2 linked regions of the Caenorhabditis elegans genome follow. The protein of the gene in region 2 interacts with the protein of the main gene of each other region in a pairwise test. Each region holds a gene or a part of one and is shown on either strand. Other genes may lie near its edges. The genes, in order: mig-39 and ced-5.

The links.
Region 1: the proteins of ced-5 (region 2) and mig-39 interact in a two-hybrid assay, tested with the Caenorhabditis elegans proteins (one large-scale study listed by BioGRID).

Annotation. Positions count from the first base shown.
Region 1 is NC_003281.10:8,465,110-8,470,326, forward strand, and holds the start of mig-39 (Zinc finger BED domain-containing protein 39), read left to right. Parts: upstream 1-1,925; 5' UTR 1,926-1,982; intron 1,983-2,599; exon of another isoform or gene 2,600-2,889; intron 2,890-5,217. UniProt on the Caenorhabditis elegans protein: Regulates the timing and orientation of distal tip cell migration during gonadal development. May act in parallel to cacn-1 and Rac GTPases to control the anterior and posterior migration of distal tip cells.
Region 2 is NC_003282.8:10,482,452-10,487,384, reverse strand, and holds the start of ced-5 (Dedicator of cytokinesis protein 1), read right to left. Parts: upstream 3,276-4,933; 5' UTR 3,261-3,275; coding exon 3,230-3,260; intron 3,187-3,229; coding exon 2,830-3,186; intron 2,781-2,829; coding exon 2,587-2,780; intron 2,540-2,586; coding exon 2,403-2,539; intron 2,356-2,402; coding exon 2,138-2,355; intron 1,910-2,137; coding exon 821-1,909; intron 505-820; coding exon 426-504; intron 378-425; coding exon 246-377; intron 84-245; coding exon 1-83. Other genes in the region: F01D4.5 (PHD-type domain-containing protein), read left to right, coding at 3,737-3,842, 3,893-4,077, 4,122-4,265, 4,316-4,535, 4,576-4,592.

The sequences.
Region 1 (5,217 bases), on a different chromosome or scaffold from region 2:
CTGCCACGTCATCAATTGTATAGCACATCAGAAGAAGGTTTACCTCTCGAATATTGAGAAATAACAACAACCACTTTTTGTTTCAATTGATTCGTCGCTTCTTCCTTTTCTTTTTTGACCATCCCAAAACATATTGGATATTGAGTTGTGAGCAACCGGTGAAAGTTTTGAGAGAGAAAAACTATGAGGAATGTTGGTATTCTAGAACTTTGTTTAGAAATGTGAAATGTTCATATTCGTGACTGCCGTGATTTTGAAACTAGTAAAAAGCAGTTGTCCAGCTTTGTTCCCGTTGTAACCTTTAAAAGAAGAATTTAATACAGTTTAGTATGATCTAGATAACTAAATGAACCACACAGTTCATATTTGTTTCTCACTTGGGTGGTCGTAAAAAAGATAAAAACTGATTAAAAGTTATGCCTGCTGGGGCTTTACCACAATATATATATTTCCCTGATGCCACCTTAACCTCTACCAGGTCAAAACTTCATGCAACCCTTCAAAAAACCACCACCAGAAGCATCCCGTCTATCATTGCTAAATGTTTGGCAAAAATTATATGACCCATGGGACTGGAGAAAGGTTTGCCCTTATTTCTTGGATCCGGAAATTTTGAGAGTAGTACTCGTAACTCAAAATGAGATGGACGATGCCCTCTGGGCACTTTGCTCCTGATTTTTAGATTTTTTCAATTTATTTTTGTAAGGACCTAACAATAGAGAAACCTTAAAACTCGACGAATATTTTGAGAATGTGTCCCAAGTGTTGTGTTATCCCATACCCAAAACCCGTATTGTCCCTTCGTTTGTTTTGCAACAAACGAGCCAGCGGCTCCTCTTAAAGAGCTCAGCTCGACTCGGGCTTCAACATGAGCGCGCGCCAATTTTTGATGGATTATGTCGTTTTGATGGGTAAGAGCACCTGATGCTCCTTAGGGGGATGCGACTCGGATACACGAGCCTGAAGATGGGGAGAGTCCAGCGTTTATGGTGTGTGAGTATGATTGATGGCCTAGGTTCGTTATACACTATGACAACTCTTCCTTCTTAGTTTCGACATCATTGTGAGGCCTAAACAAAACTCTCTCTGTGATTACATCTCTTGTCTCACTTATTCCCGATTGGCTTACCGTAGTAGCTTCTTCTTGTAGGTCGCGTATAAATACTACTTGGGTGGGTACTGGTGGAATCCAAGTTTCATTTTTGTTTAAGTAAAACTTTTTTCTGTAAAACCAGGTACCTATCAGGGCCACAGAAAAGGTATCCACAACTTGTCTGGTCGATTTTCTGCCAATTCGATTCGTTGGAAATTCTTAATTATTAATTTTACGGGAAGTCGTAGTAACCAGCATTTTAAAATCTGAATTGGGTTCTACAAAAGATTAACCGGACCCTACATGACTTCAGTGAATCTGAAATCGTAGACTTCTAGATGCTCATTTCAGCTACATGCTTCAAATAGTCCATATCATTCAGTATTATCAAATCTTATTAAATTGAAAGAAATTCAGTTTTTTAACCCAAACGTTCTATTACCAGCATCTCCAAAATACCTCAATTCCTTCTCAAAAACATATCCATTCACCTATTCTCATATCCATGTCCTTCGACCATTTGTCTTTTCCTTCTTCGGGTTTTTTGTCGCAACGCCCTTTTTTGCTCATCCCAATATCCCTGTGTGAAGCATTTTTTCTCAAAAATCCAGAGAAACACAAAAAAGAGTAACCCATAAATTTGCGGCATTTCCTTCACCACCGAAAGACGAAGCCCTCATTTCCAAATAAATTCATATTTTTTTGTGGTTTCTTTTAGGTTTTGTAGATCCCGATAGCCGCCCAAATTTTCCCCATGGGACATGAGATTTCATTTGTTTTATTTCTTTACTAATTTAAATTTTTTTAAATTAGAATCAAGACCAATTTTCAGGTACTATTGCCACAATTGCTGAGATCATTGCACAAATCCCAGGAAAACCCGAAAAACGTAAGTTAAACCTAAAAACTAGAATAGTGTGTATACTATAAAACCAAGTCAGAAAATATCTATATAGTTATGATGATGTTTAGTAAATATTGAGAGAAGAAGGAAAAAAGAAGGAATGGTATTTGTGAGTGTTTTATGGGCGATTCGCGCTCCACATTTCACTCAGTACCTGACAGTTTATTGTTATTTATTTTTAGAGAAAAGTAAGAGTTTTCGAATTTATCAACTTTCAAAGGTTTTATGAAAGAAATTTTGGTATACTTATTTACCCACTGACCCACTGAGATTATTCAAAAATTTCGGATAGCTTTAGGTTTTCTTTTTACAAAATATGATATTTTGTTTTTATTACACTTTACCAGTTAAAAATGTTTCAATATACAATTTAGATTTAAACATTTATTGACTGTCAAAACTGAAAATCTTCCAACCCAAACCCTTCCAATTCATTTTCCATAACTCGCACATTGTTCTTCTATCATTCAATTTAGCAATAAGTGGCTCTCGAAATCTTTGTAGGTCCCACCAGTTGATGAGAATCCACGAACACTTTACACCCAAAGAGTTTTTAGGAGGTCTATTGATGAAAAGACACGGAGGGGCCGGATGGTTTTTGGGAACAAATGAAACCATCTGGTTTTGGTTACCACGGAGAAAGAGGGGGAAAGAGCAAGTTGGGGAAATGGGCAAAAAATAAAGAGGAAGAGCACTTCGGTGTTGGGAAAATTTGAGTCACTTTTGAGTTTTGTTAGACCAAATTTTTGCTAAATGATTTTAGGATATGGGGAGAGTATAGATAACATTTAGCATATATAGTAGGTTCATCTTCAGGTGTTCGTATAACTTTTCAATCAAATTTTGCGATTTCAACGAATTTTTTTTCTAACTGCCAATAATTTACGATCATATCAATTTCCAATAGGTTGAGCATGTTTATTTACTCAAATTTCGTTCGAGTCGTCCATTGTATAATATGAGTCAATTTTCCACCAATTTTCTCTTATTCCTCTCTCTCTTTTTCTCGTTTCCTCAATCACCCATCACTACTGTTTGAGAGCCGTCCTGTGACAATGTATGCTGACTCATTTTGTATTTTCCTCTTCCGAAAATTGGCGATCATTACTATTATTTCTGTGTACCGCCCTTGTCTCAGCCATCTCCTCCTGCTAGAATGGTTTCATGAACATTCGTATATTTAAATAAAACAGTTTAGGTTTCGAAATGAACAGTGAAGTTGTGGCCGAACAAGTTGAGATAGCCCACTTCTTTTTGGCGTCTTCTGGGGTAGATTCATATCTTTTTTATGCGTATTTTGGTGGGAGGGGGCCGAGACAGAATTCAAGATCCTCCTAAATATGTATGGTTTCTGAACCGTTGCATATTACTTTTCAAATCCATTTTGCTCTTATTCAATTATTTTCCCAATTTTTACACAACCTGTAAATAATACCACGAAGTCCTTTGAGATAACCAAACATCATAATTAAACACTCCAAAAGTTGTAAGATTTTTGTAAATTTTATGCCAAGGCCTTGGTAAATGTCCAAATTATCTAGTTTCAGATTTTTGAGAAATTCAGAGTATTGTTGCATTTTTGAATGACTTCTAGGTTTATCAGTAGCAAAAACTTTGCAATCGCCATTGATTGACTAAAATGAAAAAATTTTCAAAAAATGTTATGATATTTTTCTTTCAGTTTAAATAAACACTTTTCTCTTTAGTGCTCCTCTACTTTTAAGCATTTAAAAGTCTTATTGAACTTTCAAATTATTTATTCTTTGAAAACTTCCTCTATTATCAAAAATCAAGGGTTTCTACCACGCAAAACCAAAATAAATCAAATCAAGATATTCAAATAATTCTTCATTTTTCTTTTTCCCTTTCATTCCCATTTCCCCAAAATCCGTCGCAAAATCGGCTCTTGGACACACGCCGATCACCTCTTCTTCTTTCATCTAGAATCCGTCGTCATCCTCTCGCGTACAGCCAAGTAGCTTACTGATAAGCCAGCAGCTCCTCGAGCCGTCGGGTTTTTTTCAACCGTGTTTTTAACATTCTAGGTAGATATAGATATAACTCACCGGTATTATCGTTTCATTTTAGTATTGAAAACAAAGATTATCTTTTGGGTATAAGAAAAAATGAAATAGTAATTTTGAAGAGTGGTATTCCAATTTTTATTACCTATAGGATAATTTATTGTTTTTATTATTTTTGCTGTGAATAACAGTATTTGTCATATATTAACATCTATCAAGAAATTTCAAAAACTCTTAGACTATCATATTCTATGTTCTACAAGCATATTTTCTTGATAAGTGTGACGTCACACACGGTTTTTAAACTTATGGTAAGACTCGATTTTAATATTCAATAAAAATATCCCTGTGTTTTAAACTGCGGAGAGACCGTCAAATCACCAAGAGTATTTCAAATGCTCAATTTGTGAACTGCGCTAAAATAATTTTTTGAAAATCCGTAATTTATCTAACCATATTCCTAATTTTGGCATTTCCATTTTGAATTTTTTTCCAGTCTTTGAAATTGTTTTGCTATCACAATCAAAAAGTTTAATTGAATGTTGAAAACTACCAACTTCTAAATTGAAATATTATGTTTCTAAAGTATAATGGAATTGAATTTCATTTTCAACTTTAGTTTTATTTTTCAACAAATATCAATCTAAAGAAAAGCCTACAGGTAATCCTAGTTATCCGCTTTGCAGTTTTTGGAGAGTTATTGAATCATAAAATCTTATCAAACTGCACAATAGTTAGGAAATAGTGGAAGAAAATCAGTAATAGAAGGCATCTATGGTAGGCAAGCATTTCTTTATGCCTGCCTGCCCATCGCGTGGCCACTTACAGTTAGGCAGAAGTGTTGACACAAGGTATGAAAAATTATTACATCTTCCATCCAAAAAAACGTTATGGAATATTTTAAAATGTACTGAAGAAATAATTTTAAAATCTTTTTCTGTCGGAATGTTTATTGATATCTTCAAAATAAACCCTTTTAAAAATTATCAATCGGGTGCAGTAGTAATTTCCTAACATCACTTACCTATATATCCTCCAAAACCTCAATCAGTTTCTCCTTGTAAATACTCAGCATCCTGCAGTTTTCTTGAGAACTCATTACCTTAGGTGATGTGGTTGTTGAAATCTTGTTGTCAACTTGAAAAAGATTATCCCACTCTACCCGGTTGTTGATGTACTCTCGGTTATCTTCTCAT
Region 2 (4,933 bases):
CTGACATGAGAGCTACGAGTGATTTCATAAATTCTCGAAGATATTGCTTATAAGTCTTTTCGAAATCGTCGAACTCTTCGAATCTGAAAACAAAAAAAAATGAATTTTGACAGTGAACTGGTGAATCAATCGAACTGTGACCTTAAACCGGTTTTTCATGATATTGCTTATTTTTTCAGTTTTGGTTTGCGAAGTTTGGAAATCAAAAAGATGAAATTTCTGATTTTTTAATTTGGAAAACGTACTTTATTCCACATTTCTTCGACACGACAACTAATTTGAAGAGAGGACCCATAACTTTGAATGCATTTCTCGCTTTCTCATTTGAATCTTCTGAATCCGAGATGACATAGTGATTGAGACACTTTAGAATTTTTCTGGAAACAAAGGAATTTGAATTATACGTGTAATCTATGAAAACTTACAGTGCCGCTGAAGTAAATGAAAATCGTTTCAGATACACTTCGAATATTTTTGCAGCCTGTGGGTAGTGTCGTGGCTCCTCTGAAATATTAAAATAAATAACTTTATCCAAAAAGAAATATTTGAAAAAAAAATTTATGGTCAGCTGCACCGCTAGTTTTTTTTTTGATAAAAAAATTTTATCTTAAGAAAAATTTCTCGGAAAAAATATGGCAAGAATTTCAAAATTTCATTCAAACATTTTTGGCGGAGAATTCAAATGTTCTCTGGCAATTTTTCGACGGATAATTCAATTTTGTCAGGAAACATTTCAGCGAAAAATTGTAATTTGCTTAACAAATATTTTCGCCGGAACTTTTCTCTAACTGAACAAAATGTCAGAAAGCTGTACACTTACCACAAATTCTTAAAACCGCCACGATAACATCAAAAACGACTTTCTCCGAAGTCTCACGATCATGCCAAATTTCAAAGAGTGCATCCAATAAATGTGAGAAGAATCGAATCATTTCGTGTTCCGTATCTCCAATTGGTTGAGCAAGAGCCACCAATGAAGATGTAAGGTTGACACAATTTACACGCCATCTCAACACATTCAACAAATGCTCATTTTGAGTTAACATTGAAGAACATGAATGAGTGGATATCATCACAAAACTTTTATCACTCAAACTAAAACCCTGTGAATGAGGTTTCGCGCTTCCAATTGATTCTTTGAGTGTTCTTCTGGTATCAGGTAAGTTCATATAATGTACATTTGATTCATCAAAGTGAGATCCTGGATTATCAATTTTGTAGACAGCCAAGTCATGTTCACCATCACAGAGTAGAGCACTACTTCGAATGAGTTGAACATGTGCAATTGCAAATGGTCCTTTTTCTGGTTTTGGTTTGTCATATGCTTTCTTCGAATAAAATAAGATCCGAAGGTATACATCATGAGAAGCACATGAGGGAAGAGCAATTTTTATTGGTTCCGTCCACATTGGTTTGTCAGTATGATAAACTACAATACTCTTGTAGACAGTGCTAAGTTGCGAACCAGTAACCGAAATAGTCTCAAAAACATTTTCCATAACATGTCCATTTGATTCCACGACATGAAGACGTGCCTCAATGTTACGATCAGATGATTTTCCAGATAATTCAGCCTGCATTAAAGTAATATACATCTCATTTCGACTATCTTCAATTGAAACTGCTGTTCTATCAGCTCTTCGTAGAATCGCCGCTGGACATCTACTGAACAAATGTGGGTGTCTTGCCTTGATTTGAGAAACATTTCCAGGAACTAATTGGGTACTTATCAATAGTTTTGTTTCCATATCGTTGCTTAAATTCTTCGGTATACGATTTGTAGCGTGATATGCTTTTAGAGATAATGGAAGTTCTGGTTCTCGATTCAGGAAAATTACACGTTCTTTTGCTTCGTGGCCAACACCAGCAAGAAAGATGCTTGACATTTCCATGATGTCCGAGGCGTACGCTGAAAGTAGCAGCAATAAATTTTTGTATTCCAACCAGGGTTGCGCGGCAATTACTAACCGGTAATTCTACAAAATCAGGCAGTGGGCATGTTCTTCCAATATTTTTCATTAAAATTTAGTGATATTGATAGGCGAAAATAAAAATAAAAAAACCAATTTTCGCCAAAAATTGGCGAAAATTACTGGGAGAACATGCTACACTAGCTCATTTTGTGATTTAAACTCACATTGCCTACAATAAAATGTCTTTGGTATAGTTGCTTCGTGATGTCCATGCTTTCTCATCGTAGCATTAGAAGATTCAATCGGTGATACATGAACAACTCGAGTTACCATCAAATACTTTTTCTGAATATCTTCTTTTGCAAAATCAGTGAACAGTGCTTTCAAATTTAAATCCGTGTGTTTTCCACTACCGCTGTTCCAGAGAAATGTATAACTATCTCTGAAAATAATGCAACTATTGTCTTTTTCAGAAAAATTGTGAGTTACGTGGTGAACATTTTCTTGTCCAGATCATATAGTGATATGCTTATTTCACAGGAATATTTACAATGGAGTTCGACAGATTTAATGGAGAGCAGCAATGAGAAACTATCGTTGATTGTAACATTTTCAGGTTTCTCCCGCTGAAAATTTGAAAAATATATTGCTTGTAAGAGAAAAAATAGTATACCATCAATGATCCGACCCTTCCTTTCGAAGAAATGTGTGCTTCATATGTTCTAAGAAGTGAAAGTGATTCAACGTCAAGCGGAACACCCTCTTCATTGCGAATCACTACATCTTGGCCAAGAATTGTATTTCCACGGTCTACCAGTTTTGAAACGCGCAATCGGAGTTTGCTCAACTCTTCAATTGGAATCCCACCTAAAAGCATAATTATTTTACTATATTCCTGATAAAGAAACAAAATTACCACTTTCGATTTTAGTTTTTATTATTAGTAGTTCATTAAAACTATCCATCAAGTCTTCGAATGATCCAATCCTTGTCGTTTCCACCATCAATTCTTTAATTTTGGTCCACCATTCATTAATAACTCTGGAAATTTCATCCACAACGAGATATCCGTCACTTGTCGATACGAACATGGACTTTTGAACGATTTGTACATAGGCAAGTGGAAAAATCCCACATTTTCCATTTTTCTCGTCAAATTTTCGACCATATCCCCACTCTCCGTGCTGCCCGTAAACACATATTCGATCGCCAATAAAAAGTTCTAATCGTGGAGCATCACAAGATGGAAGCGGATCCTCAAATGTGTATTGAACTGAAAAATAAGATATTTAAATAGTTGCGAAGTGAAAACAAACCGATTGCATAATAGAAACCCGTCGTTGCCATTACGAACTCATTTATCTGAAGATTTAAGCTTGAATTTTCAATTAAAACGGACAATTTAATTTAAAACTACGTTATATTAATTTAAAATATCAAATATAAATATACAAATCAAAACGGAGACAGTTTCTGTGAGAAACAAACGTAAATATCACGAGAACTGTTTATTTCTGATGAGTAACTGTTTATCCGAGAGGAGTCCACAAACCGTGGCCGAGGATTTATGCTTGTGGAACCTAGGCCATTGTTGCCGGGAGAATGAATTTGGAAGTCAATTGGCAGAATAACCGTATACGTTTTGGATTCCATTGAATTTTTAACAGTTTTAAATTTAATATTTTAATAGTTAATGTATAACAAAACCGATAAAATGCATGTTTTGTCATAAATATAATGTGAATATCTATATTTTATGGTAACTTCGTGTTATATTTTTAAATTTTTTTCTATAGAATCAGAAAAAAAATTCCAGAAAACCAATGGAAATTGATGATCTAGAATCTACATCAAATTCAGTGCATAAATCACCACCCAAAAAACGGAGACGTGTGAAGAAGAAGAAAAGAAATGAGGAAGATGAAGAGTGTAAATTGGTTTTTATAATAAAAATATTTTTTCTTCACTTTGATTTACAGACGAAGAGAACAAAAATATGGCCACTCAAATAAATCAAAAATTTGGTTCAAAGTATAAATCAAATAGAAAAGATGAGACTCCGATGTTTGAAGTGAGAAATGGAAAATCAGTTATCAAAAATTCGGGGAATCACGAAGCAACTGTCAATCGAACTTTGGATTTTCACATGACAAAGCTTTTTCAGGTACGATTAAAATGATAAATCTAATTTTTATTATTAATTTTCAGTGGGAAGAGCAGTCAGACGCCATTGAATCTTCCTATGTGTGTGCATTGTGCCACGAAAATGGAGAGAAACGAGAACTTTTTGGACCATATTATGCAACACATAATCCAATTAAATATTGGCCATCTTTCCTGGCTAAGAAACCTGTAACAACCCATCCCATTCTCTAAAATCTAAAAATTAATTAACTTTTCAGACTGCCAAAAAACCTACAAAAATCGAATTATGGTTCCATGGCTCATGTGTTTTATGGGCTCCAAATGTGCATCTTCACGGCAATCAGCTAACAAATCTGGATAATCAAATCGATATTTTCTGGTCTCAAACGTGCATAGTTTGCCGCAAAACTGGTGCCGCAATTTCTGTACAAAATAAGAAAAACACGTTCATTCATTACCCATGTGCCAAAAACAAAGGTACAGACATTCCAGACAAAATACCTCCCACTCTTATCAGTTTTTTACAGGCTATAAACTCGACGAGCACGCTCTCTTGTGCAATTCGTGAAAAATCGATTCTCATTTCTCATCAAACAAGTTTTGCTTTTCAATTATGTTTTTTTTTCATTTTTTACATTCTCATGTCCCATGTTTTACCAATTGCACACTGAAACAACGAAATAAAAGATTTCAGTTTTATAATACAAATTTAATTTTATTGAAACTCCACATTTTCGCAACACTTGAATAACGATTCTTGTTATTATTGGGATGCAGAAAATTTCCTCTTTTTGAAATCTAGGTGATGACGCTCCGCCCCCGAGTCACGGGTCTCGTCAGGAATTTGGCATAAATTTCAACCATCTTTTGTCTAT